Ovis aries: one gene and its partners. The protein of the gene in region 1 binds, or shares a complex with, the protein of each later gene. Links are inferred from orthologs where the notes say so. Each region holds a gene or a part of one and is shown on either strand. Other genes may lie near its edges. The genes, in order: CLTC, CLTB, DLGAP5, ARRB1 and GTSE1.

Region 1 (5,755 bases):
CCCAACTTCTTAGAGAAAGAAATGTTTACCTTTTAATTAAGCCCAAGAAGTAAATGACTGTTATACACTAGCTATTCTAAATAAAAGTGGATAGTAAAAAAAAAAAAAAAAAGTGGATAGTATCAGACAGAAATACTACTCTAGAGGAGTCCAAACATATTAGTGAAAGAAAAGAGCTGGAATACATAGATCCTTCCCTAACTAGTTGTGTCACCTTGGCAAACCACTGCACTGACCCTCAAATCTCCTTGTCTATATGGTGAGTCAGCTGAATGGGAAAATCTACGAAGCTCCTTCTAGCATCAGCATGACTTGGAATCTGGAATTCTGTGAAGGACTAGGGAGTATGGCAGCAGGACACAGACCAGGGAATCTCCCCCATACCACTTCCACTTGCCTTTAAACTGCGCTGTATCTGTCTTGTAGACTATAGAGTCTTGTCGTTAGTATAGCATTACACTTGATGTAAACTAAATTTCAAGTCTCAGTGTTATCTGTTACTAGAGGGTTTCAAAGTCCTAGGGGTGCTGAGATGGGGAGGCAGAGTGCAGAACTTTTTTATGAGTGTTCATTCCATGTCCTTCAAAAAGGCGAATAGTGAAAAATCACTCACAAAAAAAAGACATGCAGGACTTCAGTGAAAAGGCTTTAAAGACTTGGTCCCAGAAAGGTTAAAGCAAAACCTAGTTTCTATTTGCAACTATTTTAAAAACAGTGTTTCAATCCTACACAGGCCATTAAGGTTAGGACAGTATGTTACATGTATTTTAATTGTTTTATAGTGAGTATCTTAAATGTGGGTCTAATTTACCCTAATTTGTCAGGGAGCAAAATGTGAGAAAAGTGGTAAGAGTCAGACTCAGACACCTTCACACAAAATGTGGTTTTTCTACCCTGGGAAGATGGGTTATTAGTTTGCTTGAGTATTTCATTTTTTAAATTTTATCACCTAAGGGCTCATGTGTTAAAATTACCCCACTATCAAATTAAAGACTACTATGGAGTATAAGTACCACAAGAAACACTCACTGTTTGGCACCCAAACTTAAAAACAAAAATGACTACAGCTCTCTAATCTAAAGTACAATCTGCGCCACCAAGGACAGTCAGATGGGGTTTTGCTAAGTATCCAAGAGTGAGCTAAAGAAGTTATTTTTAAAAAGTACATGGATGAGTGTACATTAATAACGTCTAAGAAGAAAAATCAAACAAAAAAACCCACTGAATAACACATTGCCAGACTTTCAAGGAAAAGATTCTAAAGTGAACATGTGTTTAAAAGTTAATGTCTGAGTCGGATGTTGAAGACAGAAGTCTGTTAAAGATTTAGAAGAGCTAGCAATGTCATAATGCCCAGGCACAGACATAGGCAGGTTGGGCAAAGAGACAAAACAAAAAGTAACAACTGTGAAGGAGGAGCATCATGCTAAGCAAAAATTGATTTTTCTATTTAATGGGACAGCCTCTGGCTCAGCAATATCCAATTATTGTTTCCAATGACCCAATTTGGACTCCTCCAAACAGAAAAGCAGAGAAGGCTTTTATGAACACAAGCTTTTGTTAAGAGCTGTAACAAAAGTTTCTGATCCTTGGATTAAAAAAGAAAAATTACAGGTAAGCATGTCACTGAGTTCAGTTCCATCTGTACTATTGAATATTCATGATAATGTAAAAGGCTTTTCCACAGAGACTGCAATACGCTGCAGAGGAAAAGTTAACATGCAGTCAGTTATTTTGGTGTATGTGTGCATGAAAAAAAGGCAAAAGTACTGAAGCAAGAAGTGAGATCTGAAGATGACTGTTGCTATACAGGCTCTCAAGAAACACACACAGCCCACAGCAATGCTTTAAGAGTTTCAAAAGTAGTATGATGTAATTGCAATGACTGTTGTACATGCTTGATTTAAAACAACGCATAACACTGCAGTTCAATTACCTATTTTTCACACACACGCTTTCTAACTGCCTTGCTTACTAGCTGCTGAAGGGCCTCACACACAATGCATTTTACTCAGGTTTGCCCTAAGTTCCAATGGTGACTCCAGTTTGGTTCAATGTAATTCCAAGGCACTGTTCCCCCCTCCAAATTATTTTAAATTGTTTTAACTGTCCTTTATCTTCCCACCCTTTTCTCACCATAATTTGATACCAGACACAAGTTTGTAAGTTTGTTTCATTTATACGGGGATGGAGACAAGCCAATGAAGGAAGCAGCAACCAAAAGGTGCCTAAATTTGACTTTGGACAAGCCAAAGGGATGAGTAACAGCAAATTTGTAGCTTCAGAGATGTACCTTATTATAGAAAGCAGAAGTTAATATGGTTCCATATTTTACAGAAATAATCCAGTTGCTTAGCAACAGTTATAGCAAGCTAATCTGATGATTGTAAAAGTTTTGATTTCTCTTGAAAATGAACTAGCACCATAAGAACTGGACACCTGGAGAAACATGAGGAAAGTCTCTTCGGAAGCAGCTAGTATCTCTTGTATCTACTTTCAGCAAAAAATTAGTAAGAATCAAGAGATCAGAAACTGGATCACAGTCCTTCAATACCAAAAAAAAAAAAAAAAAACCCAAAACCAAAAAACCCCAAAAAGCCTTTTAGGGCATATATATATACATATTTAAATTCAACAACTGTCAGGCACACTCACAAAATAATACCAGAGGCTGTTTAATTTTACTTAGAATATTGATAAATCCTATTATGGTCCAGATACCCTGACAGGGAAGAGAAATCTCCTGGAACTTTGGAATTAATATGGAAACTCAACATGCTCAGTTTTTAATAATATATTTAAGAGAGACTGTGAACCAACTACTGATTAGCCTCCTGCCCTTCCTAAAGCCTATTAGCCGATTAGTAGCAAACATCTACTAATGTCCTAGAGCTCTATTATAGTTATATTTTAAGGGACTTGCAGAGGCTTTAGTGAAAATTTATTGGGGGAAAAAGCAGAAGCAGCAGTGTAGAAAAGGAAGGAAAAAAAATCATGCAAATTCCTTAGACTTAGTCCTCCAGACTTAAAGATGGAAAAGAATCAACTTTCACCTTTTCCTTTATTGCATCAACCTGCAAAGGAATTCAGAAGGTGCAGCTTAGAAAAAAATCAAATTCCATATTGAGCATAAAAAGGTAGAATCAGCAACAAAGGTTTAGGGGAGAAACATCTAACCACTAAAAAAGGTATGAGAGAAGTGAAAATAAAGGGCATACTGGAAGCAAAACTCAGAATTTTTTTTTTTTAACTTCAGAGTTTATTTGCAGAAGAATTTATGCTAGAGTCAAGTGTGAAAGAAAGCAGCTTAATCGCTAGTAAAATTTACAGCACTTCAGTTAACAGCAGCTTAGAGCCAGGTCTCACAAGTTGGCATTATGCATAAGAAAAGAAGCTATTCTCATCTGTGGCTAAGGTAAGACAACTTTCTTTTTCCTCTTACACTGGATTTAAGCAGTTTCTACACAGAAAAATGTTAATTCTCAAAAAAACTGTAACTTAACACAATGATATCTAATTGGATGGCAGCCCAAGGAAATGCTCAGCCACACTGGGGGTTGTTAGTAGTGCACCTCCCACCCTGACACACGCCTTTAACTCAGACATGCTGAAAAGACCAGACGCAAAACTGACTTTAATAAGCATGTTTTGCTTTGACAAAATGGATCCTTTAGGACCATTTTAAAATGCTCCACAGCAGGACAGGGTAAAAACATCCTAACATCAAAAACAAATACTAAGAAGAATAAGTTAATCTTATAAGATGATTATACCCCCAGCTTGTTTAACGCACTTTTAGGAAATGTGTCATTAATTGTTAACCTCCTGCAATATTTTTTAATAAGGGGTTAAACTATCAAAATATTGAGAAGATTAACAGGACATTAAGAATACAGCTGAAGCTTTCCCATGGGAAACAGGCATACGTATTAAAGTCAAGAACCAACCAAAGAGAAGGGAATCTACACTACTAAGTAATGGTCATCTGAGTTACAAGAATTGATTTGAGGAAGACATTATTTTAACACAAAATGTTTCTATCAAATGTTTAAAAAAAACAAAGACAGAAACCCATACAATATGGACGTAATACTATGTGCTGCTCAGAAATACATTCTGTGGTATTCTGAGTATAAACATTTTGCCAAGATATGTCTGAGTTACCTTTCCATTCAATGTCATTTGTCAGGTATTAAAAACTACTGGAGAATAGGAATATTTCATGATCAACTAAATTATTTAGAGAAAACCTCTGGAAACAAAGTCTATACATGGATTCTACATATCCTCAGGCTGATTAGTTCTCAGAGGCGCCATTACCTTTGTCAAGTACTCCTTCATGACTTGGATGAAATAGGGCATGGCGAAGTCCATGATGTTGTGCCTCCATGCAGTTTCCAAGACAACATCTGGCCTTAACAGATCGTAACAAGTAAAGAGACATGCTCCAAAGCACTCTCTTTTTTCTTCCTGCAAAAACCACTGTAGGAGCTCTTCAGCCAATTCAGTATCTTTAGATTCAGAGGCATACTGCATTGCATCCTATTTAAAGGAAAGAAAGTAAGTCAAACATTAAATTCAAATATGATGAACTGATAAATTAAATAACGCAACGGGGGAAAAAAAACTCAGTTATATCATTTAAATTAAGGATTTCCTGAAAGAAAAGGAAGACAGAGGAAAGCATTCTCTTTTTAACAGAGAGGTCTGACAGAAGCATATGACAGCCTCCAACATTAAGAAGTGACATAACTATTATCTCCTCAACTGGGAGCTTAAAGGCAATTCCCATATTTGCAAAAACTAATACCTTTATAGACCATAATCACTTCTAATATGCCATCTTAGGACTCACACAGATCATCTAGTTCTTGGCTTAATAGGCCCACCCCACCATCTTTCTTCACCTTGTACAGGCTATCTTTCTTGCACAGCTCTACACTCTGTTTCCAGCGATTATTGCCTTTGAAGAGGTAAGCAGCAATTCTTCTGAACTCAATGAGTTCATGCTTTTCCAAACGCTGAGCAAGTGAGATATTGTCAAAGTTGTCATAAGCATCTATCGATGTTCTCAGAGCCTTAAAAAATAAAAGAAAGCCACTGTAATGCCAAACCAGTATTTCATTTTAGTTTAAATTTTATGTTCCATCATTCTTGATCAATGAGCCGTTACTGTATATAACTGACTGCGTGTAATGTGATCAGTATCTTGCATAATGAATGTTTAATAAGACTTGATCAATCAGCCATTATTGTAATTAAGACAGCCTAGATTCAAGAATCAAACCATAAAGTTATACTATGAACAAGTATCAACATTGCTCAATCTAACTGTTTAACAATAAGGTCCTTGAAGGCACTATAAAATTTCTAGGCAACAATTTTCTCCAAGGTTTTTGGTATCAAGAACTAACTTGAATGGTTATGAAACTGCAAAGATTTGTAATTTGGAGGGTAAGATTTTATGCCCTAGGGAAACTCCTGATACAATTCAACATGGTATTCAGTCATAGAGATCAGCACTGGGTCTGCACCTGAAAGAAAATCATGTTGACAAGAAGAGAAAGAAAAGGCAATTTAGCTTAACCTTAACTTTTTTATATTTCTGCAAAATTCTTCACAAAGGAAAGTTTACTAAGAGACAGGTACTGAATAAGCTATTGGGCAAGAGAAACAGTGAATAAAAAAGTTAATACCATATAAGGTTTATACACTAGTTTAAGAGATCAAAAACTTTTCAACTCAATCTACAATC
Region 2 (6,525 bases), on another chromosome or scaffold:
CTCATGAGAACCTTTGCAATCTGGCCCTGCCCATTTTTCCTGCCTCACTTCCCACCAGTCCTTCCCACAAACCCTATTCTGGTTTCCGCCTTCCCCAAACACACTATGCCACATTCCATGCCTTTCTTCCTACTTCCCTCACCAAAGAATGCTCTTGGGGATCTAGTCATTCTCCAAAGCCCAGTTCACAAGTCACCTCCTCTGGGAAGCCCTCCACTGCTTCCTCTTTTACCCTAAGCACTGATGGAAGGTTTCAACTACCATGGAGTATCCTCAAACACTGTATAGCACCCCCCACCCTCTTACATGATTACTGTGACCTCCCATGGGTCATGCATTCCCTTTATCAGGCTCTGTATTCCATTCAGCTAGCTCCTATGGGTGAGCAGTCAGTATTGGCGAAGTGGAAGTTGAACTGATCTTTGGGGGCCCGCTGTTATCTGCAAGGCCTGAGGACTCTCAGAAACTGCAATGCCTCTTAGCCAGGAGCAGAGGGAGGCTGTACAAGACCATCCCAGATGGACAAGTACACTTCACCAGCCAGATAGAGCCGTGAGTCACAGTGACAGTGCTTTCAGCTTGGGGACTAAAGGGAGGGATCCTTAACCCCATGGAAACAATACCCAGCAGATATAAATTATAATCAATTTTGTTTTCAAACAGTGATCGATTTTAACCAACAGTTATCAGCTGTCCTCCCTGCTCATTTAGATGGAGTTTCTCCTATACCGTGGCCTGGTCCCTAAATCAGTGGCAGCATCTTCTCCAGGGGCATTTCCTCTACCAGAGTGTGAAGTTACCAGGGTCCATTCACAATGCCAGTCTGTGTACTTGGCATTTCTGGAGGGGAAGTTGTGCCCCCCCCCCACGCCACCCTGACCAGTCCCAGTCTCAGACCCCTCAACCACAGGAGCAGCCAGGGGCCCACCCTGTCCTTTAGGAAGTCTCTGCAACCCAGTCTCTCCATCCCATGGGTGCTGCCCTTTGGAAATGAGGCTTCAGCCTCTTTGGGAATCCACACACGCCCACACATGAAATTATGAGTCTCTGTCCTCACAGTGCTTTCTGACCAGCCCACGGCACGTTAATAATCGCGTGCCCAGTCCAAAGCCGGCAGAACAGGAGTGAAGCAGATAGGAGTCCCAGGCATGAGCCGTGGTTGAGACTTCCCTCAGATCCCTAATCCCCTTTTGGGACAGGGACAGATGGGGTCCAGAATATTCCTGGGAGCTTACTGAGTCACATCAGGGGGAAATGGGCTTGCCCAGGAAGTGACTGGGCAAGTCCAGGGCAGAGCCAGGTGGGGCACACAGAAATCTGGGTGTGAAAATGTAAACCTCCTGGGCCCTACCCAAGCTGATGAATGGAAACGAAGTATCCATTGCTCAGGCTGGCCGCAACTCCAGCCCCAGAGGAGGGACTCAAAGAAGCTCAGACTCAGGCCTACTCTAAATGGTTTCCCCTGATGTACATGCATGCCTGTGAGCTCAGTCGAGTCCAACTCTGTGCGACCCTGTGGACTGTAGCCCGCCAGACTCCTCTGTCCATGGGATTCTCCAGGCAAGAATCCTGGAGCGGGTTGCCACGTACTCCTCCGGGGGATCTTCCCAACCTAGGGATTGAACCAGCATCTCCTGCATTGCAGGAAGATTCTTTACCACTGAGCCATCAGGGAACCACCCCCTGTCCCCAAAGTCAGGGCACTCAGCACAAGGGCATCATTTAAGAGACAAGACTCAGAAGTGATGAGTGGTGCTGGCTGCAGGAGCTTCCATCCAGCTCCCAGCAGCCTAAGGCACATTTTCTGCAACTTATTCAGGCTTCTGGCAGTTATCCCTGGGGGATTACTTACTCATCACCATCTAGACCTAGGAGGGTCAGATCAATTCTATCCTATCTGGCCACCTATTGAGCTGCATCCCATAACTCCTCTCAGATCCCTGTGCTCTACTCAGCAGGGTAGCTGAACATTTGCAGCTTTAGTGGTTGTGAGTCCGGGAGACCCCCAGAGGGCCATGTCCCTGCTGCTTTCCCTGCCACCTCTGGTCTGGGGCCAACCTGTACCACCCCTGCTGGAGAGGGAACCTCCCATCCAGGCCATAAATCCCTGGAGTCCCACCATCCTAGGAGAGGTCACAGCCTATTCAAACCCCAGCCACATCTGCAGCCCTCTGCCTGACTTCTCCCTGCTTCTCTCTTAGATGGTTCTGACATGGGCTCTCCCAGCAGGGCCTCTCCCATGCCAACCTGACTGGGGAAGCTGGTAGTCTCAAGATGTGGGCCCATATTTTCCAGGAATTCCCTGGGGTGTGCCAAAGTGCTAGAAGCTGCTGCTCCTTCAGAAGACATCCACTGCTGACTTGGTTAGGTAGCAAAAGATCCTCCCACCTCCACACCCCATCACCTCCCAGGGTGATTGCCACAGCATTTGAAAGAATGTGGAGCCCAGAGTTGAGAGGCCTGAGACCTAGTCCCAGATCTGTCACTCACGGCTGTGTGACTTTGGGCAAGACCCTCAGGCTCTCTGGGCTTCCTGTTTCTTACATGTGACAAAGGGCTTGTTACATTTCTCACACGAAGAGGATACAGAGATGCTTTGAGCCCCTCAAGCCACAGGAACTGTCTTATTCATATCTGTATCCCCACTGTGTCTGGCACACAGAAGGTGCTCAGTAAATGTTGAATACAAATATAACTATAAGAAGCTTTACTTGTAAACATTTTTTTAAAAATATGTAAGCTAACACTTATTCTGACAGGCCCATAAACCCCCACTAAAATGACAACATTAACAGGAAACAAGGGCTGTTTGAGATGCACCCATGAAAATGATAGCTAGTTTCTAACTTTAAGAGATTGTTCTTTCAGGCAGAACTAGAGCAGAAACATTGTTGATAAACACGCTATTGCAAGGACCAGGCCCCAAACCCCAAGCCTGAAGCTAACCCCAATAGCCTTGGACCACCTTTGCAAAACCACTAAGCTCCAAACCCAGGAGGGCAGGATCACATCTGACTGAAGCCCTCTGTGCCCCTGCCCCCATACTGGTGTCTGCCTCAGAGCCTGGCATATGGAAGACACTGCGGCCAGGGGGAGAGGATTCAGAGTCTGAGAGAAATGGTTCAGCCCTCACTCTGCCACTTACTAGTTCTTTCAGTAGTGTGCATTTTGAGCCCTGGTTCTGCCGTCTCTGAAATGGGTGTATAATGCACAGGAAATGATGGAATGTTAAGTAAAGTGCCTAGAACAGTGGCCACAGGATGGCAGGTGATCCTCCAGGCAAGTCTGTAAGTTCTTAGAGCACCCAGTGCCTGCTGCTTTCCCAACTGAAGGAGGGAGCTAAGTCCAAGGGTCAGGGAGGTCTGAGGTCCTGTATACACCTGCAGGGCTCAGCCCGGGGCAGCAAGCCTACTGGGAAGCTCAAGGCTGGGCTGCTTTGGATTCCAGAGCCAGGCAGTGGCAGAGCTGGGTTGGGAATGAAATGTCATGACGAATTTCTATGCCGGGAGCCACCAGATCCTCAGCCTCAGGCGGGGCCTCAGATGGGAAACACAACAAGATCCCCCTCCCATTTCCTTCTCCAAGTCCCCCTCAGGTACACATACAGCCCCAGGCCTGCTTCTGGCTGGCCATAGCAGGCCTTCTTCGCTCTACCGCAGGGCCCGGAGGCCGAGGACCCCGGGTGAGAGCCCCAGATCCCCCCCGCCAACCCCCAGTACCCAGGCCACCGCGCTGACTCACCCCCACTGGCGGGTCCCGGCTGCGCGAGGCCCCCCTGGCTGCCGGCAGGTGCCCCAAAACCCTCGTCATTCTCTATGCCCGCAATCTCACTCTCCTGCTGGGCCAAGAAGGCAGCCGCCGGGTCCTCCTCGGCCGCTTCGGGGGCCCCGCTCTCCGACGACGAGAAGAAGCCAAAGTCATCAGCCATTTTCCCCGCGTCTCTGCCGAAGCGTCCGTCTGGTGCTCGGCTCTGCCCGGCGCGTGCCCCGCGCTGCGCCCGGCGGCCGCGGCACTGTCACCCGAGCACCCCGGGGGGAGCCGCTCGGCCTCGGCGGGGACGGGCTCAGCGCGGCGGCCCCACACTTCCTCTCCGCCACCGGGCCCGGCTCGCCTGTCACTGCGGCTGCAGGCGGGAGGAGCCGGGACGGGAATGCGGTGATGTCACCGGCCGAGGGAGGAGGCCCGCAGGACGGCCGGAGGTCGCCTCTCAGCGGCCACAGGAGGGCGGCAGCAGGACGGCGGCGCAGCCCCAGGGGCCCGGGGCCGCGCTACCCGCTCGCGGCCACCAGCGCGCGTCTCCAGGACACAGGACTGGCGCAGCTCCTGCCGGGTCCGGAGGCGAAGCAGATGGGACCAAGGGACCATCGCGTGTACAGGGTCACCGCAGGCTGGCAGCCCGGATTTCAGGAGCACCGAGGGGGTGGTCGCAGCGCAACCTGGCTCCTCCTGATTCATTCTGCACAAGTTTCTTCTCCAAGGCTCGGCGGGTGTTACGAAGCCCCGTTATCAGGAAGGAGCCTTGGAAAGGTAACATTAAGACCCACCGCTATATTGCATCCTTCCTGCAAGTCCAGGGTCTTCCCCACAAAACCATGTTGTTTCCGTACATTTCTTATGCATATCCCTTCATTTGGAGACTTCAGCTTAGGCCACCAGAGTTTGTGTGACCTGACGGGGTCTCTCCTTGGAGGTTGGATCCCTTCAATGTCCCTTGCTTCCCTGGTTGTTCAGACGGCGGTAAAGAATCTGCCTGCAATTCAAGAGAACCGGGTTCAATCCCTGGGTCGGGAAGATCCCCTGGAGAAGGACATGGCAACCCTCTTCAGTATTCTTGCCTGGAGAATCCAGTGGACAGAGAACCCTGGCGGGCTATAGTCCATAGGGTAGCAAAGAGTCAGACAGGACTGAAGTGACTTAGCAGTAGCAGCGAGTATGAACCAAATTGAGGAAGGCAAACCCAGCTTATCCAGGCAGCCTACCACTCCTCCACTCAGTCACCCTGAGTAAACAGACTTCAAAACATAGTAAAACCCAAGCTCTGGCCATGGGGAGATTACAATCTAGAAGCCCAGCAGATGGGAAATGGTCAGACATTTTTTCAGAGTGATAGGTGTTGTGACATTTAAACACAGGCTTGGGGAGTGCGGCGGGGGAAGAACCACCATCAGATCTTTAGGATTTTTTCTTTCTGATTTGAAATTTGAAGGTCAAAATAGAAAGGAAAGATGAGCCGCCCCTAACAGTGGGTTCCCTTAGTGGGTGGGAAGTGGAAGCAAAGTTAAACTGAAGGACAATCTCAGTTTTGCACAGTAATACTTTCATGTAGGTTTCACTTCTATGATGAAAATATGATCATTTATCAGTAGTGTGGGAAAGAAGGAAACTTCAGGCTCTGCACAACCTGGTGTAAGCTCAGCACTCCACCATCACTCATCTCACTCCTCTTCCTCATTACCCCAGCTGCAGCCTCAGGTGCTGAGAAGACCTGGAAAGTTTCCTAGTTTACCAAACCAGCCTTAAATGTCAACTCCAGGCTTTGTAGAGGCAGAAGTGAAGTGAAGTCGCTCAGTCGTGTCTGACTCTTTGCGACCCCATGGACTGTAGCCTACCCGTCCTCTGTCCATGGGATTTTCCAGGCAATAGTCCTGGAGTAGATTGCCATTTCCTTCTTCAGGGGATCTTCCCGACCCAGGGATCGAACCCGGGTCTCCTGCATTGTAGACAGACGCTTTACCATCTGAGCCACCAGGGAAGTCCTGTAGAGGCAGAAGGACTACCGAATGCACTGTGTGCCCTTTGTGATCACCCGTGGATGTACTTGCTTGGTTCTTGGAGACTTCAATGCCTCTGCCGGCACTCTGCCCAACTAGTTCCTCCTTCCTTCCTGCTCCTTCCTAATGTAACCATCAGCAAAATTAGTTACATGCTTAATTTATACAAGTTACTGGATGAAGCACAAGCTGGAATCAAGATTGCCGAGAGAAATATCAATAACCTCAGATATGCAGATGACACCACCCTTATGGCAGAAAGTGAAGAACTAAAGAGCCTCTTGATGAAAGTGAAACAGGAGAGTGAAAAAGCTGGCTTAATGCTCAACATTCAGAAAACTAAGATCATGGCATCTGGTCCCATCACTGCACGGCAAATAGATGGGGAAACAATGGAAACAGTGACACACTTTATTTTGAGGGGCTCCAAAATCACTGCAGATAGTGACTGCAGCCATGAAATTAAAAGACGCTCGCTCCTTGGAAGGAAAGTTATGACCAATCTATTGGTCATTTGCATATGCATTGGTCTATTGCATATTCAAAAGCAGAGACATTACTTTGCCAACAAAGGCCTGTCTAGTCAAGGCTATGGTTTTTCCAGTAGTCATGTATGGATGTGAGAGTTGGACTATAAAGAAAGCTGGGCACCAAATAATTGATGCTTTTGAACTGTGGTGTTGGAGAAGACTCTTAAGAGTCCCTTGGACTGCAAGGAGCTCCAACCAGTCCATCCTAAAGGAAATCAGTCCTG
Region 3 (4,639 bases), on another chromosome or scaffold:
TGTCCTTTTCTAACAACCCTTAACTGCGAGAATATTCTTTAAAAAGTTAAAAATTATTCTTTTTTTTTTTTTTTTCAGTATTATGTGATAATAAAAGTCTCAGTACTGGATGCCATCTTCTTGATTCAGTAAGTTTTCAATTTATTTGAAAAGTTCTTTGTATTTTAGATTTGTTTTATAAAATGAGCGTTATTTTTCAGTTTATATGCACAGTTTAAAATGTACATCTTATCACTATTTACTCTGAAGTCCTTTTTTGTTTATTTTTTTCTCAAAATGGGGAAAAAATTTTCATATACTTTATAGTATGCTTTAGTATTAAACTGAAGATTTAATTCTTTATATGGTTTATGTATCAAATTTGTTGTGACAGATTGGTTGAATACTTAGTATGCTTAGTATTTCTCAGTGATGCAAGAAAAGGATAACACAAGATTATACCCTTTTGAAGTATACAGTTGAGAAGAAAATGTCTATCCTATCTTCAGTCATCAATGCTTATTTTCATTGTAATTCTTTTAGATTGCTGTTTTTATGTCCTGTTATTTTATTTGGAAGCCCCCCGACCTTTACTTTTTAGTGACCTCTTGCCTCTAAGTCTAGTCCAAACATTTGCCTGTCTGTGAAGCCTTCCTGTAAAAGCTCTCATCTCTCATCTGTTCCTCTGTAGACAAAGGTGTACAGTACATGCAGTACACACATTTAATCTCTTTTTGAGAGTATAATATGAATAAACTATTGCATTCGTAAAACATACGATGCTTTCAGGAATCTATTTCCCTTATTAACTGTAAGTTCCTCTTTGGGCAGAGCTGTCTGATTCATATTCATGGATGCTGGCACTTAACATTTAGGACATAAATGGAAGCGTGCTCTCTTGCCTGCTGAGTCTCTGCAGCATTGGTTTTCAGCCCCACTCCCAGATATTTTTATTTCAGTGATCTGGTTTTGGACGTTCACCAGGCAATTTATGTAGCCAGGGTCAGCAACTCTGGTTTACAGCCTTACCTGGAAATTTTCCAGGGACAATTGTTAAAATGAGTCAGAGAATGGGCTTTTTTGCTAATCTTCAATCTCAGAATATTAAAAAATCATTAAGGCAAATGTAGAATAAAACAGCAACAGTTTTTGTTAATCTCACGAAGCCTGACGAATGCTTGGCTTTCTTACACCACTAATTCCTTAAGGACCTCTGACTATGTTGACTTTTTATTATCTTTCAAAGCTGCCTTCTCCATATTCAGCCTTCAGGGCTCGCTGCATCTCAGGAGCAGAATGGTTTCTGTGACGTGCACTGTTCATTCTTGGTTTCAGCCTTCTTTACTCAGAGGCTGACACCTAGACGGACAGGGATTTCAGCATGAGGCCAGTTTATAGAAACCTGATTTAATCTCGTTCCCAGTTCTCAACTCTACATGATTGGTTCTGATAATATGTATTATAAATAAGTCTAGAAGTTAATCATAACATTCTGTTTTTTGATATATTATTAGTAATATAATTAAAATTGCTTCACAGTTATACATTTTCTTGTTGATAAATCTTAGTATCTTATAACTTAGTCTCCCTGTGAGTTATTTTCCATTCCCATAAATATTAGGATTTATATTCTAGGATCTTTTTAATAGATATACCTTTAGACCCACACGATTACCAGCATAATTTAAACCTGAAGTAGGGCTTGAGGGAGAACAAAGAGAAGGATCCTGGCAGGATCACACCAGTAAAAGTTCTGCTAATTACAGTGATGTGGACTAGGGTGTGTGGAATCTGCCTAAGTGGCTTCAGTTTTAGTCACCCTGCATACGTTACTGAAGTCTGTCACCTTTTAAGGCATGTATTCCTTTTTAGAAATATTTATTTTTTAAAAATTTATTTTTCACTGGAGGATAATTGCTTTCCAATGTTCTGTTGGTTTCTGCCACACAAAAGCATGAATCAGCCATGAGTATACATAGGTCCTTTCCCTCTTGAATCTCCCCCTCACCTCCCATCCCATCCCACCCCTCTAGGTGGAGCTTCCTGTGTTATGCAGCAACTTCCCACTAGCTAGCTGTTTTATATATGATAATCTATATATTTCAGTACTTCTCAATTTGTCCCACCCTCTCCTTCCTCCACTGTATCCAGAAGTTTGTTCTCTATGTCTGCATCTCTATTCCTGCCTTGCAAATAGGTTCATCAGTACCATTTTTCTAGGTTCCATATATAAGGTATATATTCCTAATATACTTTTCAATTTTAAAAAATCTCTATTTTGAAATTAGATCCATGGAGGGTAGCATAACATTATGTTACTAAGAATTTTATCATTGTGTACAAAAAATGTTGTTTATATTATTAATTAATCCACTACTAATTTGAAAGATTGAACACTCACTTGGTAAAACTCTTGATAATTACTTCAGTGGCTTCTCTTAAATTTCTTCTCTAGCCAGGCCTGAACTGCAGTAATACATTCATTCAGGTGGAGAGAAGACATCAAGAACAGACCAGACACATTTCCTTTGGTGGTAACCTGATTTCCTTTTCACCTCTGAGGCCTCTCAGTGGAGAACAACCAGAAGAATTTTAAATTTAAAAATAAATCCAGACATCTTTCTTCATGTCATCAGTGCTGTGTTCTTAGAATATTGAAAAGTTGAAGAGTGTTTGTGTTCAGTGCTGTTCAAGCTACTTGTAGACTGTTGACCCTCCTTAGGTGGATGCAGAACCTGTGGATACTGAGAGCCTGCTGTTAAGAGATTTAAGCATCCTTGAATTTTGGTATCTGTGTGTGTGTGTGAGGGGACGGGGGTGATCCTGGGACCAATCCAACCACCCCCCTCAGGATTCTGAGGAGTCATTGTGTAATATTTTAATATTCAGTGTTCATCAAAGTGTATTTTAGCTATGATACTATTTCTCAAGGGAAGTGGGGATATGTTATATATTAACCAATGCAGAATAAAAATGTACTGTGCCTTGCCTCTCTTGTTTAAAATGTATAAGCTTAAGTATATCTGCTCAGAGCTTACTAACATTCTTCAGTTTAATTGAAATATAATGTTAAACTTTGACAAATATTTGCATTCTTTTATACTTTATTCTTAGTTTGAACTCTTAAATTTGTTGATATTGAATAGCTTACATATTGCATTTTCAGGGTATGTGGAGTTTCTTTAGCTATCAATCAGTATATTTGGAATACTTTCTCCTTTATAAAACTCTTGACTGTAGGATTGTAGAAGACAGGGGCATCAGTACGACAGAGCACTAAGCTGACTCATAAGTAGCGGAAGCTTCCCATCAGACCTGGGGCCAGTTATTTCTGTTTGCAAATGAGGTGAGTATTGGGGGTATTCACTGAACAAGCAGCACCTTTATGGATAATTCTTTAAGATGAGGGCCTTCCAAACAAGAAAGGAAAAGCACATCCACTTTTGTTAGAGGAAGTTGTGTTGGGCTTGTAGAAAAGACAGTATTATCAAAGTTGGGAGTTTTCTAAGGGTCCAGGGCCATGAACATGTAAAAGAGATGAGTACAGAGCAACCCAAGACTTAGTACATACATAAAGCGATATGTGATGTAACAATAAGATAACATTTGCCCTCAAGGATGAAGTCAGTGTGTGCATACTCGGTTGTGTCTAACTCTTTGCAACCCTGTGGACTGTAGCTTGCCAGGCTCCTCTGTCCATGAGATTTTCCAGGCAAGAATACTGGAGTGGGTTGCCATTGATAAAGTAGATGAGACTAAAACAATGTCAGTCAGTAAACATGATTTTTTTTAGGTTTAATAAGATGTACTGTTGAATCACTTAGAAAACTTTTGGCTGTTAAAGTAACAATGCAATGAACTCCAATTGGCTTAACAATAGGAAGTTCATTATTATAATGTTGTCATGGTGATTTCAGGCACTTCACAGTCAACAGCTCAATGATGCATCAAGGTCCAATATCTGTTCACAGTTCATTCTGGCATCCTTGGTGTCAGCATCTCTAACGCTGGGTGCTTGGGGGTATAAGATGGCTGCTAGTGGTAATCAGAGCTATGTCCTTCCCTTTAGTTTGGTTAGGCCAATTAATGCCACATCTCCATCTGCATCTCATCTGGGATTTACTTAATCAGGATTCCCTGTTTTACCTGGGATTATATCTGGGTAAAACCAGGACTGTTAGGTAGCAGGGAATGAGTCAGGTAGGCAGCCGTCATTATGCCCTACAACTAGATGGAGTGTCCTTGGGCTACTGGATTCTAGAATTATGAGGTATCAAGAAAACCTTTAAAGACAAAATGAAAGAAAACTGGGTAGAACCAGAGCTTTTCCAAAAATGAAAAAAGAAATGAGATGAAGTAAAAATATGAAGGCCTGTCCCCCTCTTGACAGCTCTAAAGGATCATCCCAGCTCAGAATCCCTGTAGGGTAGACTGAGGCGTAGATGCTCCACTTCTCTCTCTGCGCAGTCATGTACTTTCTTGCCTTCACAGCTGTTGAGAGAAAGGGCATATCCTCCCTCATAAACCTCCTGCATTCTGATCTCTGCAGGAGATCATGGTTGAGAAGATGGTACTGTAGAAACAGTAACAGATCAAATAATATTTTGGTTTTCTATAAAATGAAGTGGTCTGAGCATATCCTAGTTTTGAAATTATATTA
Region 4 (5,755 bases), on another chromosome or scaffold:
TGAGACCTCCTTGGGAGATTTGGGGAAGCCTCTGGGGACTGAAGGGGTGACAGAGGAGGGGCATGAGCCTGAAGGATGCGGTTGACTTCAGAAGTCAGTGTGCCTTCTGAAGAGTCCTGGGTCCTGGCCGTCTCCCTGCATCCCCATCCCCCTTTGAAGTGTGAGCACCCCCTCTCCCTCTTGGGGGCACAGTGAAGGCAAGTGCTTGGGCCGAGATACAAATTGAGGCTTCAGTGAGGTTTCAGAGCCAGGGACTTGATGTATCACTTACTCCAGCCCCTCCAATGGACAGCGGGGGAAACCGAGGCTTAGATAGCCTGTCCAAGGCCTTACCACTCTCATCTTTATTATTGTTAGTATTACTGTTATCATTACTTTTGGTGACCAACCCAGGACTGGAACCCAGGATTGTAGTGTGCTTAGTCACTCAGTCATGTCCAACTCTTTGCGACCCCGTGGACTGTAGCCCACCAGGCTCCTCTGTCCATGGGGATTCTCCAGGCAAGAATACTGGAGTGGGTTTCCATGCCCTCCTCCAGGGGATCTTCCCAACCCAGGTCTCCCGCATTGCAGATGGATTCTTTACCATCTGAGCCACCAGGGAAGCCCAGAGCCTAGAATTATTACCTTCTAATTCAATTATCTTTCAAGGTCCACAGAGGAACTTAAGTCTAACATGCCTGGTGGCTTAGCATCAGTGGGAAGTGACTGATGAGCTTGGGGCCAATGTCAGAGTGGCCAAGGCCTGGGGAACCCCAGGAAATGTGTGTGGGGCCTCATTTCCCTCCCCTTCATCTAAAGCTTTGGAATCTTTCCCCTCTCCCTGGCTACTTCTTCCACCTCCCAGATCTACTACCATGGAGAACCCATCAGCGTCAATGTCCATGTCACCAACAACACCAACAAGACAGTGAAGAAGATCAAGATCTCGGGTACCCAGGCAGAGGGCCAGTCCAGGGGACGGGCAAGGGGACTCCTTCCAGAGGTTGGGGGCAGCCGAAGGCTCTCTCTTTGCTAACAGCCCTGTAAATAACTACTAGCCTGAAGGGAAGACTAAGGCCTGCTCTACGCTGAAGGGTAAGGCTTTTGAGGCTGGTAACGCAGGCTGCTTACTGGCCAGGTAATGAGTTTCCTGTTGAAGCCCTTCTTCTAAGTTCCCTCGACAGAGCTGTCCTTGAGGGGGAGATTTTTGGTTATGGAAGGAAGTGGGCCTGTTCAGGCTGCCCTTTGGGTGGAGGATGGGGTCCATCTCCTGCAGAAACTCCTGGTGGCCTCTGGCTGTTAGCTGGGGCTGAACATCCTAACTCAGAGAGCCTGGGACCCCTGGACTCACCCACCTCGTTTCCTTCTTTCTCTGCAGTGCGCCAGTATGCAGACATCTGTCTGTTCAACACAGCCCAGTACAAGTGCCCTGTGGCCATGGAAGAGGCTGAGTAAGTGAGCACAAGCCCAGCCTTGGACGGGTGGAAACAGCTGGGGAAAAGAGAAGCCCTGGGTCCAGTTACAGGTCCAGTAGCTCTTCTCCACCTCGCAGAGGGTCTGGCCTTAGACTTGCTGCTCAGCGTAGTTGGCCCTGAATAGCTTTTTTAAAAACCACCCAGCCACTTGGTTTAGCTACAAGGAAATACATGCTTCAGTCAGGGTAAAGACCCACTAAAACTAGAATGCAAAATAAGAGCTAGTGAATCTGCGAGGAGTGGGGCTGTGGAAACCTAGATTGCCTGGAGCCTTCTGAATTGGGGTTGCCGCTGCCCCCAGTGTGCAGAGAAGGAAGTGGGGGCAGAGAGATGTGACTTGCTCAACCTCACAGGGCTGGCCAGTGGCAGCTGGGGCTCCAAGGCTTGCTGCACCCCAGCTCTCTTATTGTTGAAAAGGGGTTGCGGGGTGGAGCAAAAGTAGGTAAAAACTGAACAACCCAAACACCTTACACACGATGGACAGAGATGAGATACAGCAAGTAAGGTCTTCACTGTAGAACTTAGGAGGTGAGTGATCACTGCACAATTCTTTCAGTTTTCCTATATGTTTGAAATTTTTTCATAGTAATACGTTAGGGGAAAAACAGGCCACACTCTCTCCACTAAAAAAAATTATCCTAGTCATACAGCACAGGGCCAAACAGTACAATGAATTTTTAAAAACTTGCAGCTGCTTAGAAACCACGAATGAAGCTGATGGATCACCTCAGAGTCCCTGTTGTTTGCATGTGGAGCAGAGATGTCCCCTTTTGGGTGGCAGTGGTCTCCCTGCCAGAGCTGGTCCTAAGGGTGGGCCCTTCACAGGGGAGGGAGGCTTAGAGCAGGGCTGGGCTCTGTGTCCTGGGTGGGCCGGGGGTGAGGCTGGGGGTGGCTCTGGGGGCATCTCCACACTAGTCCCCTTCTTTCCAGTGACACAGTGGCACCCAGCTCTACGTTCTGCAAAGTCTACACGCTGACCCCCTTCCTGGCCAACAATCGAGAGAAGCGGGGCCTCGCCCTGGATGGGAAGCTCAAACACGAGGACACAAACCTGGCCTCCAGCACCCTGTGAGGACCCACCCTCCCTAGTCCCAGGCTCCCCACTGTGTGTTAGTCGCTCAGTCGTGTCTGACTCTTTGTGACCCCATGGACTGCAGCCTGCCAGGCTCCTCTGTCTGTGGGATTTTCCAGGCAAGAACACTGGAGTGGGTTGTCGTGCCCTCCTCCAGGGGATCTTCCCCACCCAGGGATCAAAGCCGGGTCTTCTGAGTTGGAGGCAGATTCTTTACCATCCTCCCCCAAATGGATCCACACCCACCTTGGTCCCAGCAGGGCCAGCACAGGCTCAGGCTACCCTCTCCCTGACCATTGGCCAGGGCCCGTCCTCATGAGCTTGAACTGCCAGGGAAGCTGTCGCCCAATCCCACCCCTCTCCAGGGGCACCCAGAGAACACGATGGACCACTCCACCCGGCACCCTTAGTCAGTGCCTTGCCCTGGGGAGGGTGACATGGAGAGGCTTTGTGCAGGAGGCAGCTGCTCCTGACCTGGTCGTGTCTTCAGCTGGATAGAGTGCGTCCCTGAGGCAGAGCAAGGCTGGAAGGAAGGATGGAAAGAAGGAAGGATGGAAAGAAGGAAGGAAGGGCAGGAGGGGCTTCTGGAAGGGTCCTGGGAGGAGAGGATGAATGAGGACAGGGTCTGGGAGTCCAGAGAGATGAGGGTGGTGAGCTGGGCTCAACCACATGTGGAGGTGTCTTGGAAGGAAGGGATCCCAGGGATCTTACCCCAAGATCACCACTGCCTCTCTGAGGCCACCCTGCTCTAATGGACACCGGGGGTTATGAGGACCCCTCTTGCCCTGCCTGCTGAGGTCTGGCCCTTCTTGGGGCCTGACCCACCTCTGCAGCACTTCTGCTCCCGATTCTAGTCCATACGCTGTCTCACCCGCCCTTGCATGTGCTACCCACTTCCCTTTTCTTCCCTGACTCAAATCCTAGTTGCCTTCAACACCTAGTGAGCGCACCACCTCCTGCAGGGTCTTTCCCTGTGCAGGCTCCCCTCCCTTCGTCTGCCCACTGCCCTCTCCTCTCTGCCAGCAGCAAGAGAAAGGGAAGCCACCCTGCAGGAAGAGCCCACCCCTCACCTCCTTGCTGGGACTCGGCTCTGGGAGGGAAGGAGCTGGTTCCCAGCGCAGCACAGCCAGACTTGGGGCCCAGCGCTCTGAGTTCTTGCTCCGCAAGGGCAGGCCTCGCCTTTCTCACACACCGGGCTCCGCCTGCACCTGGTGGCTGAGTGGTCAGGAGAGGGACCTGTGGTGCTGCCCTGGCTCACCCCATCCTGCCGTGTCTCACAAGACCCATGAACCGGCTTCCCTACTTCGCCTTGCAGGTTGAGGGAAGGAGCCAACCGGGAGATCCTGGGCATCATTGTTTCCTACAAAGTGAAGGTGAAGCTGGTGGTGTCTCGTGGTGGGTGAGTGCTCCAGCCCAGCCCAGCCCAGCCCCCAAACGGTGGGCGGGAAGGTCCCTGACGGCCACACCCAGTGCCCCATTCTGCCTGCTTGCCGGATCTTGCCTTGTTCCTCTTCCTTCTCCTCCACCCTTTTCCCTTTCTGCTTCAGAGGCTTTCAGCCCCTCTCTTTCCCTCCCCTCTTTCTCTCCTCCCCCTTTTCTTCATCCTCCTCTTTTAACTCCTCCTCCTCTTCCCCGTCCCTGGTCTGGGCACATGGGAGGTGGCGGGAACTTCCTGAGTCTGTGCTGTGGGGTTTCCAAGGGGTGCTGTGCCCCTCATCACATCTCAGGGCACAGCACCCACCATACCCCCACTTATGCCCAGGGTGATCTGCTGGGGAAGCGGCTCAAGGAGCTCAGAATCCCAGAGCTGGGTTGAGGGTGCTCTGACTGTCCCATTTTACAGACAGGGAAACAGAGGCCAAAACAGTTCCCCACACATTTCCCCAAATCTCCTTCTCTAACCTCAGGTCACAGGCTGGGTGCTGGGGTAACGACAGTAAACCAAACATATTCCCTGATCAGAGCAGAGCCGGGTGGAAGCCCAGAAAGAACTCGCGCTTTTCCCCATATACTGAGCCAATAGGTTGCTGTCAACCTAGAATTAGGATTTCTAATTTGTCAGAGGGATTTTTTTAAATTCATAAATTTCTTTGAAAAGATTGGAAAGCTAGTAGCATTAGATATCAGGTCTCCTTTATTTTTAGAAAATGCCTCCTGTGGTGGTGGTGTATAATACTGGCGATGTATTACAGGACATCTCAGAATTGCAGATCTCAAATCCTGTGTCCTCTGACTCTTGCAAGACCCTGGGGTCTTGTGCCTCAGGCTCCTTCTTGAGGCATCCTCAGGGCATCCTAAAGTACTTCCTTCTGCCATTGGATAGCCCCAGCTTCCCCAGAGCTGGCAGCACAGGGCTGAACTTGTGTGTCTCCTTTACAGATGAGGACCGTGGGGCTGCCCTCGCAGGGAGTTTGGCTGAACCGGGCCTGTTCAGTCCCCCTGGCAGGGCTCACACCACTTCTGTATATCCCTGATGAGCGGTTATACCTGGGGTGGGTGGAGTGTGTCCCTGGGTCTAATCTACCCCAAAGTGTGGTGAATGAACTTGCTTTCTGTTTTCTTCCTCTCTGAACTCTCTCCTGACCACTTCTTCCGCCTCCTCTGACCCACCCAGCCTGTTGGGAGATCTTGCATCCAGGTAAAGCCCCTCCCTTCAACCTGATCAACCCACCTTCCTGAAGGGCCCAGAGAGCATTGTCCTGACTGTCCAGAGCCATGGGCCCTGGGTAGGAAGGACGCTTAGCACTCAGTTTTTTGATTGCCAGGCTCAGGCACGTATGGGGACTAGGACTCTCTCCGGAGGGGCTGGGGGGGTGCGGTTTCTCCTTTCAAACCTTGCCCTGCTCTTCCATCCCATCCAAGTGACAAGGACCTTTGCAGACAGCAAAGTGGGCTTCGGTGATCTGGGAGTGGCCCCCAGTCAGTCTGTTTTACAGGATGTTTTGGATAAACTCGGGCTTCGTGGCTTTCAAACCCTTCTACATGAATGAGAACTAACTGCTGGCTGAGTGTTGCTAAGAAGTCCTGAGGAGCTCTGCTTCTGTAGACAAGACTCCTTGGAACCAGCTGGATCCACATGCATTTTCCACAAATTCATGTGCCCCAAACCCAGTGGCTTTGCTTCCTCCTGTCCCAGGAAGCTAATATTGCTCATCCCAAGAAACCTTAGTCTGTTCGGAGAAGTGAAATTAATTCAATTCAACTTGATTCACTCTAATTCAGTAAG
Region 5 (6,492 bases), on another chromosome or scaffold:
AAGCAACAGGTTGATAGCCCAATATATTAAAGATGTAACGTCTCGCGTGACAAAAACCACCGCAAGCAGAGCTGGCAGGAGCAGCAGACAGGGAAGAGAACACGGGCGGTCCCATCGCAAGGGCTGCTGGCGAGCGCCCCACACACGGGAAGAGCAGGCAAAGGACAGGAGCAAAGCGAGGCACGGGGGCGAAAGGGGACGTTCTGAAACGCACGACCGGAAGCTCAGTCACACTCAAAAGCAAGAGCCATGAAAAATTCAGAGACGGCCAGGACTCCAGTTTTCACTGGTAAGACTGTTGAAAATCTAAGTTTGATTTGTAAGTTACTACAGCTCTACGGAGGGTAGCCTGACAGTACCTACCAAGAAAGAAACGCACACACCCTGACGGGAAGCCTACTGCTGCTGTCAAATACCCCACCTGGTTTACTGCAGCAGCATTTGCAATGGCGAGACACCAGCCACAAAGCCAAGTTCCCCGATGGCAGATAAGCGCACAGCACAGCCCCACAGTGGAATGCAAGAAGACCTGGGCTCGGGGAAGAGCAGCAACACTTCCTATATTGATACACAGAGCTCATCAAGATAAATTAGAGGCAAAACCCAAGATGGTGCCCAGGGTTCTACCTGCTATAGAAGAGGGGGGCTGGACTGACACGTGCACAAGTCAGGTCTGGACTGCCCAGGAGGCCGAGGTCAGTGGCCTCTGGAGGTGGTAACTGGGCAGCGGAGGGGCAGAAAGGAGGAGGAGATGGACTCCTCACTTTCCAATGTGCCTAAAACCTAGGGAGTCAGTTTCATGGGTCACTACCAGAAAATTCCAAACATCTGCTGTAGGGAAAGGAATCCTGGGCCGGGAGTCAAGGGAAAAGCCTTCCACACCAGGCTCCGCCACTGGCTCAGGGTGACCTGGGCTAGCTGCCCCCTCCATCCACTCTGCAGACATGGGCTGCATCCTCCGCTAGGTGCTCCTCGGGGGCACACTGTCCAGCGGGCACACACCTTGGAAGGTGGTGTGGGGAGGGGCCACCGGGAAGTGGGGACACCTCTGAGGCCAGTGGCTGGAGGAGGTGGAGACACAGGTCAGGTCAGATCCTGGGTGGCATCCAAGCCATGGCAAGCTTTTAATTTATTCAGAGTGCAACGGGAGCTATCGAAGGGTTTTAAGCAGAAGAGTGTTGTGCTCTAACTTTTGTTTTTAAAAGGCCACCCTGGTGGCCTATAGCACACCCTGGATGTGCTATAAAAGCAGCAGGCGGTATCTACTGAAATTACAGTGCACACACTGGCTAAAGTGCAAAATATACATGTAGGCGGCGGCGAGTTAATGCGGCTGAGACCAAGGTGGTGGCATTCGGGTGGAGCTGGAAAGAGGTAGATGGATCCAAAACACACCGTGGAAATGACAGTAACTGATGACTGAACAAATGCTTCACAACCTTCTCAGCTAGGTCAATGGACAGGCAATCGACTTCTATTACAGAGACAGTAGAGAAGGAAACGGCAACCCACTCCAGAATTCTTGCCTGGAGAATTCCATGGACAGAGGAGCCTGGTGGTCACAGTCCATGGGGTCACAGAGAGTCAGACAGAACTGAGTGATAACTTTCTTTTCACTTTTCACAAAGACAAAGAACCAGCCAAAAATGGGGTGGGAGGTGGGACCCGCTGAGTAAGAGGTGGGAGACATTCACGTGAAGACGCCAGCCAGCTAGGTGGATGCAAAGCCCAGAACTCAGAGGAGAGGCTGCACCCCAGACAAAACGTGGGCACCACCAGAAGATGGAAGGGTTAAAGGACTGTCTGAGAACCTGCAGGAGGGGAGGGGGAGTTCAGAGAGACCCCAGACCAGGTCCTGGGGAATTTGGCTTCAGAAGGTGGGACAGAATGAGAAGTCTGCAAACAGCTGGAGATATACCGGCCAGAGTGGACAGAAGGAAAAGCAACAAGCCAAGCTGGCCAAGTTTCCTGTAGGAGAAAAGGTCAAAAGTCACTGAAAGAACAGAAAAAATGACTGCGGATTTCGCAACACGGATGTGCTCAGTGACGGACAAAGGCAGTCTGGGTGAAGTGAGAGGGCAGAGAGGGTTCAGAGGGGTTGAAGGTTGTGGAAAAGAGCAGCGAAACAAGTGGGGAAAGTTCTTGCTCTGAAGTCTGGCTCTGAATGAGGCACACCGCAGCGGAGAGGGCGTGGAGCACGTGAGGGCAAGTCGGACAACGGGACCTATTTATACATCGGTGATGAGCGTGATGAGCATGAAGAACAGACAAGAAAAGATATAAAGATATAAAGGAGGGTGACACACAGAAGTCCTCAGGAAGCAGCAACAGGGGTTCGGCTGCATGTGGAGGAAAGGGAGGGCATACACGCGAGGGTGGAGGTCAGGCTGCAGCAGCAAACCCTGTTCTAGACCCGAGGAAGCGGCGCTGATGACTAGCAGTCTTGTGGTTGCTTCTGCAGAAGGGGGGTATTAAGGAGAAACTGGGGTACTCAGTCTCCCTGACTCGCACACATGTCGTGAAGACAAAGGCTATAAAGATGTCCCCACGCTTCAGCAGAAAAAGAGGGCAGGGCCCGTAACTCCTTTTGTGAGGCTGTGCTCTCACTTCACATTCACAGCAGACAGGAACAGAACAAGACAGCAAGGCTACAGGCCAGGCTGACTGGCCCGATGTGCTGGTAAAGATCCTGGACAAGTCTCAGCAAACAGACACCAGCAACCAGCCAAGAGGCAATATCAGCTCCACAGACCTGAGTGCCTACGGAGTATGTCAGGCCCTGGGGACACTGAAGTATATAGGACGGAGAAGAATCCCTGCTCCGCTAGAAGTCACAGCTGAGGGGTAAAGGGAATGTAGAAAACCCGGAAAAGAAAGAAGTCAGAGGAATGCAAAAACTCCGGGAAGACAGGGAGTTTACCGGGGCGCAGAGAGCGGGATGAGTACCGAATAAATAAACCAGCAAGTTCTCGCAGGAGCATTAAATCGACCTGCGTGTTCCCTGAGCCCCCCAGACCGACAGAGCTGCGGAGACAAGGACGTACCTTCCTTCTTGGGAGCCTCCATCTCCGCTTCTTGGGGGGGCCAGGCAGGCTGAAGGCACGTCGCTTCCTCCTTCCCCGGCCAGGGCTGTCAGAGGTCACAGCAAGGAGCAGGAGACAGAAGCGGGGCGGGTGTCGGAGCCGGGGTTCCCCTAGCCCCCCAGGGAAGCCCTCACCGTGCGGGCCACTGCAGCACCGGCTGGGCAGAGAGGGCCGGTTAGGGAGAGACCGCGAGGCCGGCAGAGGCCACCGCGGCCGCAGCCCAAGACCCTCCGCCCCGGGGCCCTCTCGCCTCTGGGCCGGCGCCATCCGAGGCACCCCGAACCGGGGCCCCGGATCCGGACAACCAGACCTCCCCGGCTGGGCTTCAAGCCGGGGGTCTTCGGCTTGAAGACCTCCTTCAGCCTCGCCGGAGCGCGCCAGGGGGGCCCCGCCGCCCCCGACCTGGCCCGACCCGCCCGCCCCGAGGACCGCTGACTGCCCCCCCTAGACAGAGCCGCACCCGAGTCGCCCGGCGACCCCCTTACCCCAGAGCCGCCGCGACATCCCAGCCGATGCGCCTGCGCCCTGGGTTTAAACGGGGCGCGCAGGAAGCGCTGCGGGCTGCTGATTGGCCGGTTTGAAAGGCCGCGGGGCCCGGTGCATCCTGGGGGTTGTAGTGAGAGCCGCAAGGAGAAGAAAAAAAAAAAAAAAAAAAGAGGGTGGCGCGCGTGCGCACTGTCGTGGCTCGCTGCGCGTGCCCGAGGTCCGGCCAGAGCCGGGCCACACTGGGCTGGGGGCCTTAGGGCTGGCCTGTGTCTCCGTAGGCTCGGCATCAGGACAGCTACGTGTCGCAGGGGACATGGTTACGACACCAGATCTCCATCCTTAAGTGAAGATCCAACCCCTATGGTAGGAAATAGGTGCATATGCCCGCTTCGTAGAGCTCTGCGGGTTCCTTCTGGGGGCAAGAGAACCCCGTCCCTGCCCGCGGAGCGCCCGGTGACTCTGGATGACCAGGCACCCCAGTTTATGCCCCTGGAGCACCCTGACACCTCGCTTCTATTTAGAGGCTCCCTCTGCAGCCTTCGGCCTCGCTCTTTGCGGTTGCCTTCACTTCTGACGTGCTGGGTACGCACCCCTCGACCCTCCTGAGCTTCTGTCCACCGGCTCCCTTCTGAGTTCCATCACCTGTTCAGGAGCCTACTTAACTGCAGAAGAGAGATGGGGCCAGACAGACCCAAGGCAAATCCCAGCTGCAGATACTGGTCACGAGCCCCGGGGTTGCAAGTAACAGAAGACCAGCCTCAAGTTGGCTTCAGAAAAAGAATTTATTGGCTGGAATTGGGAAGCCCAGGAGCAGCCCTGGCTGCAGGCGTGCATGGAGAGAGGGGCTTGAAGGAGGGCACTAGGTCGAACTGTCCCCCAGCAGCCACTCTGGGTCTTGCTCAGCTTCCCACAGGAGCCTTTATTGAGCCCACTCGCCCGGGGCCCCAGGCTTCCCTCTGCCTGCCGGGGCCTCCTGAAACAATGGCCGGCTTAGTGTGTGTGCTCAGCCCATGGTCCCAAGGCCTGGGTTCGCGTGATTCATGACCACAGGGCCACTGTGGCAAGAGCCCAGTGGGTCCTAGACTCAAGGGGTATTCACCCAGGTGTCAGATCCACACAGCCCTGGGGGTGTCTGCTGGGGGCCAGGGTCCCCAAACGCCCACTCCCAATCCCCCTCCCCCTGTATCATGTCAGCACGTGAGACTCGGTCAGTGAACACACCAATTGTTAATAACTCACTGCGGCTAACTGAATTCTGCCTTCATCCAGCTCTTCTCGTGGGCCCCTCCTCTCTTCTGTCAATGGCCTAGCTACTGTCGATTCTTTTCTTCCTGTCCCCAGTAGGATTCTGCTTCATTTTGTAATGCACTCATTCAAGGGCTCGTTCACCAGTCATGGGTTCACTGACAGGTAGTCAGGGCGAGTTCCGTGCTGGGTGATGCTGGGACACAGATGTCCCTGATGGGGAGGGCACAGCTGGGCAGAAAGGTGCAATAGCAAGGACTGTGGGACCCTGGCCTGCAGTGGGAGGCCGGAGGCCTTCCTGGAGGGGGGGGCCAGGGTTCTGGCTCCCCTGGCCAGGCTGTATCTTGCTTGGAACCAGGAGAGGGGAGGGCATATAGGGTATGAGCAGGGGAACTGGCAGGAAGGGACAGCTCAGAATGGGAGGGCAGGCTCCCCTTGGGATGTGTCCCTAACTCCTGGGGGCAGACAGCACCTCTCTTGAGATCCCACTGTAATGACTCTGCTCTTGACTCACTGCCCTAACCTACCCCCATGTTCAAAGAGAAGCCTGTCTGCCCGGGACCCAGCCCAGGCCTGGCACATGGAGGAGGGTCAGAGGTGCCCACCCAGTAACAGTCAGGCAAAGGAGCCAATCAACTAATGTATTTTAACCCCAGGAAATGTGTCCAGTCGATTTAGAGGTGTCTGCTGCCTCCTGGAAGACCTGCCCCCTCCCTGCCCTGTGAGTCCCTACCCTAATCTCAGTTTGCACTGAAGGAACCTGAGAAGCTCCAGTGGGCTGAGACTGTCTCTCACAGCACCACCGAGTTGGACGTCAAGGCCGGGTTCCCCGTGGGGAGGGAGACAGAGGCAGCAATTACAACACTGGCTCAGATCTTGGTAAAGCCAAGTCACAAGGCTTTGGTTTCTGCCTCCACACTCAATCCTCACACCTCAGAAAGCACAGCAGATACGAGTGTGCATACGTGTGATTAAAATCAAGGTTGACAAAAATAATCGACGAGGACCTACTGAAGAGCACAGGGAACCCTACTCCATCGTCTATAACCACCTAAATGGAAAAAGAGCTTGAAAAGGAGCAGACGTGCGTATAGGTGTAACTGGATCACTTTGTTGAAACTAACACAATATCATAAATCAACTGTATTCCCATGCGAAGTAAAAACTTTTTAAGAATCATCGTTGACAATGTGCAGTTTAGAATTAAGAGAAAATCAACCCAAATCAGTGTCACTAAAGCCCCAGGAGAAGCTTGCAGATGTCTCTGCAGACACAGCAGAAGGGCTAAGGGCCCAGGCACTGAGGTGGGAGCCCCTGTCTCCCAGGAGGCAAGGGCCCCCACTAGTTGGGACCCTGGGCAAGTCACTCCCCACCATGGGCACCCTCACCCAAAAGGTGGAACAACAGAACCTTTCCAGAATATAGAGAGGAAGGCAGAATGATGGGGTTTATCCCAGGGGCGGCCTAGAGTGGAGAGAGGGGTTCCCGTAGGGGTGGATGGGAGATTCCCCTCCCTGAGCTGAGCCCACCACCACCCCACCCTCACCTTCCAACCCTTGAACTGGGAGGTGTAAGGGAGGGTCCCCTGCGAAAACAGTTTTCGAGGCAAGTGGAACAGCAGCCCCCACCTAGGCTCTGCTTGAAACCGCACTGTGGCCCTGAGCGAGGATTAGAAGAA

The links.
Region 2: the proteins of CLTC (region 1) and CLTB are in contact, whole or in part, in a cryo-EM structure (PDB 6SCT), measured with the Sus scrofa proteins. The link is inferred for Ovis aries from reciprocal best matches to the Homo sapiens genes CLTC and CLTB. Residues at the interface, in NP_001139599.1 of Sus scrofa: Gln1291, Arg1293, Gly1294, Phe1296, Lys1326, Phe1327, Gln1354, Ala1355, His1356, Pro1382, Thr1383, Glu1413, Phe1414, Lys1415, Pro1416, Leu1417, Gln1444, Pro1446, Leu1447, Thr1473, Glu1474, Glu1475, Glu1503, Leu1504, Ile1505, Arg1508, Leu1533, Lys1535, Met1538, Lys1562; in XP_005661527.2 of Sus scrofa: Pro100, Ser102, Trp106, Gln110, Leu114, Ser121, Thr124, Glu125, Trp128, Arg129, Ala132, Asp135, Leu136, Trp139, Val147, Asn150, Lys151, Asn154, Arg155, Asp158, Tyr162, Glu191, Trp192, Lys194, Val195, Leu198, Cys199, Asp200, Phe201, Cys209.
Region 3: the proteins of CLTC (region 1) and DLGAP5 are in contact, whole or in part, in a crystal structure (PDB 7ZX4), measured with the Homo sapiens proteins. The link is inferred for Ovis aries from reciprocal best matches to the Homo sapiens genes CLTC and DLGAP5. Residues at the interface, in NP_004850.1 of Homo sapiens: Val50, Arg64, Pro65, Ile66, Ser67, Ala68, Leu82, Lys83, Ala84, Thr87, Gln89, Phe91, Ile93, Lys96, Ser97, Lys98; in NP_055565.3 of Homo sapiens: Gly833, Asn834, Leu835, Ile836, Thr837, Phe838, Ser839, Pro840, Leu841.
Region 4: the proteins of CLTC (region 1) and ARRB1 are in contact, whole or in part, in a crystal structure (PDB 3GC3), measured with the Bos taurus proteins. The link is inferred for Ovis aries from reciprocal best matches to the Homo sapiens genes CLTC and ARRB1. Residues at the interface, in NP_776448.1 of Bos taurus: His12, Leu13, Gln14, Gln16, Asn17, Leu18, Gly19, Val50, Asn56, Asp57, Pro58, Ser59, Asn60, Ile62, Arg63, Arg64, Pro65, Ile66, Ser67, Ala68, Lys78, Ile80, Leu82, Lys83, Ala84, Thr87, Gln89, Phe91, Asn92, Ile93; in NP_776668.1 of Bos taurus: His30, Ile31, Asp32, Leu33, Val34, Glu35, Pro36, Pro96, Thr98, Arg99, Tyr173, Pro175, Lys355, Thr374, Asn375, Leu376, Ile377, Glu378, Leu379, Asp380.
Region 5: the proteins of CLTC (region 1) and GTSE1 are in contact, whole or in part, in a crystal structure (PDB 6QNP), measured with the Homo sapiens proteins. The link is inferred for Ovis aries from reciprocal best matches to the Homo sapiens genes CLTC and GTSE1. Residues at the interface, in NP_004850.1 of Homo sapiens: Val50, Arg64, Pro65, Ile66, Ser67, Ala68, Leu82, Lys83, Ala84, Thr87, Gln89, Phe91, Asn92, Ile93, Lys96, Ser97, Lys98, Asp143, Arg144, His145, Trp164, Gln182, Leu183, Tyr184, Ser185, Arg188, Lys189, Val190, Ser191, Gln192; in NP_057510.5 of Homo sapiens: Ser686, Arg687, Pro688, Leu689, Ile690, Asp691, Leu692, Met693, Ser707, Pro708, Val709, Val710, Gly711, Gln712, Leu713, Ile714, Asp715, Leu716, Ser718.

The regions. Positions count from the first base shown.
Region 1 is NC_056064.1:10,341,708-10,347,462, reverse strand, and holds part of CLTC (clathrin heavy chain 1), read right to left. Parts: intron 5,079-5,755; coding exon 4,908-5,078; intron 4,543-4,907; coding exon 4,321-4,542; intron 3,075-4,320; coding exon 3,054-3,074; intron 1-3,053. UniProt on the Homo sapiens protein: Clathrin is the major protein of the polyhedral coat of coated pits and vesicles. Two different adapter protein complexes link the clathrin lattice either to the plasma membrane or to the trans-Golgi network.
Region 2 is NC_056058.1:35,592,389-35,598,913, forward strand, and holds the start of CLTB (clathrin light chain B), read right to left. Parts: upstream 4,120-6,525; 5' UTR 3,929-4,119; coding exon 3,742-3,928; intron 1-3,741. UniProt on the Homo sapiens protein: Clathrin is the major protein of the polyhedral coat of coated pits and vesicles.
Region 3 is NC_056060.1:65,698,220-65,702,858, reverse strand, and holds the end of DLGAP5 (disks large-associated protein 5), read left to right. Parts: intron 1-78; coding exon 79-128; intron 129-2,434; coding exon 2,435-2,575; 3' UTR 2,576-3,063; downstream 3,064-4,639. UniProt on the Homo sapiens protein: Potential cell cycle regulator that may play a role in carcinogenesis of cancer cells. Mitotic phosphoprotein regulated by the ubiquitin-proteasome pathway.
Region 4 is NC_056068.1:53,210,998-53,216,752, reverse strand, and holds part of ARRB1 (beta-arrestin-1), read left to right. Parts: intron 1-847; coding exon 848-932; intron 933-1,360; coding exon 1,361-1,433; intron 1,434-2,387; coding exon 2,388-2,525; intron 2,526-3,844; coding exon 3,845-3,928; intron 3,929-5,143; coding exon 5,144-5,167; intron 5,168-5,755. UniProt on the Homo sapiens protein: Functions in regulating agonist-mediated G-protein coupled receptor (GPCR) signaling by mediating both receptor desensitization and resensitization processes.
Region 5 is NC_056056.1:222,510,950-222,517,441, reverse strand, and holds the start of GTSE1 (G2 and S phase-expressed protein 1), read right to left. Parts: upstream 3,624-6,492; 5' UTR 3,569-3,623; intron 3,241-3,568; exon of another isoform or gene 3,130-3,240; 5' UTR 3,067-3,129; coding exon 3,045-3,066; intron 1-3,044. Other genes in the region: TTC38 (tetratricopeptide repeat protein 38), read right to left, coding at 6,357-6,492. UniProt on the Homo sapiens protein: May be involved in p53-induced cell cycle arrest in G2/M phase by interfering with microtubule rearrangements that are required to enter mitosis. Overexpression delays G2/M phase progression.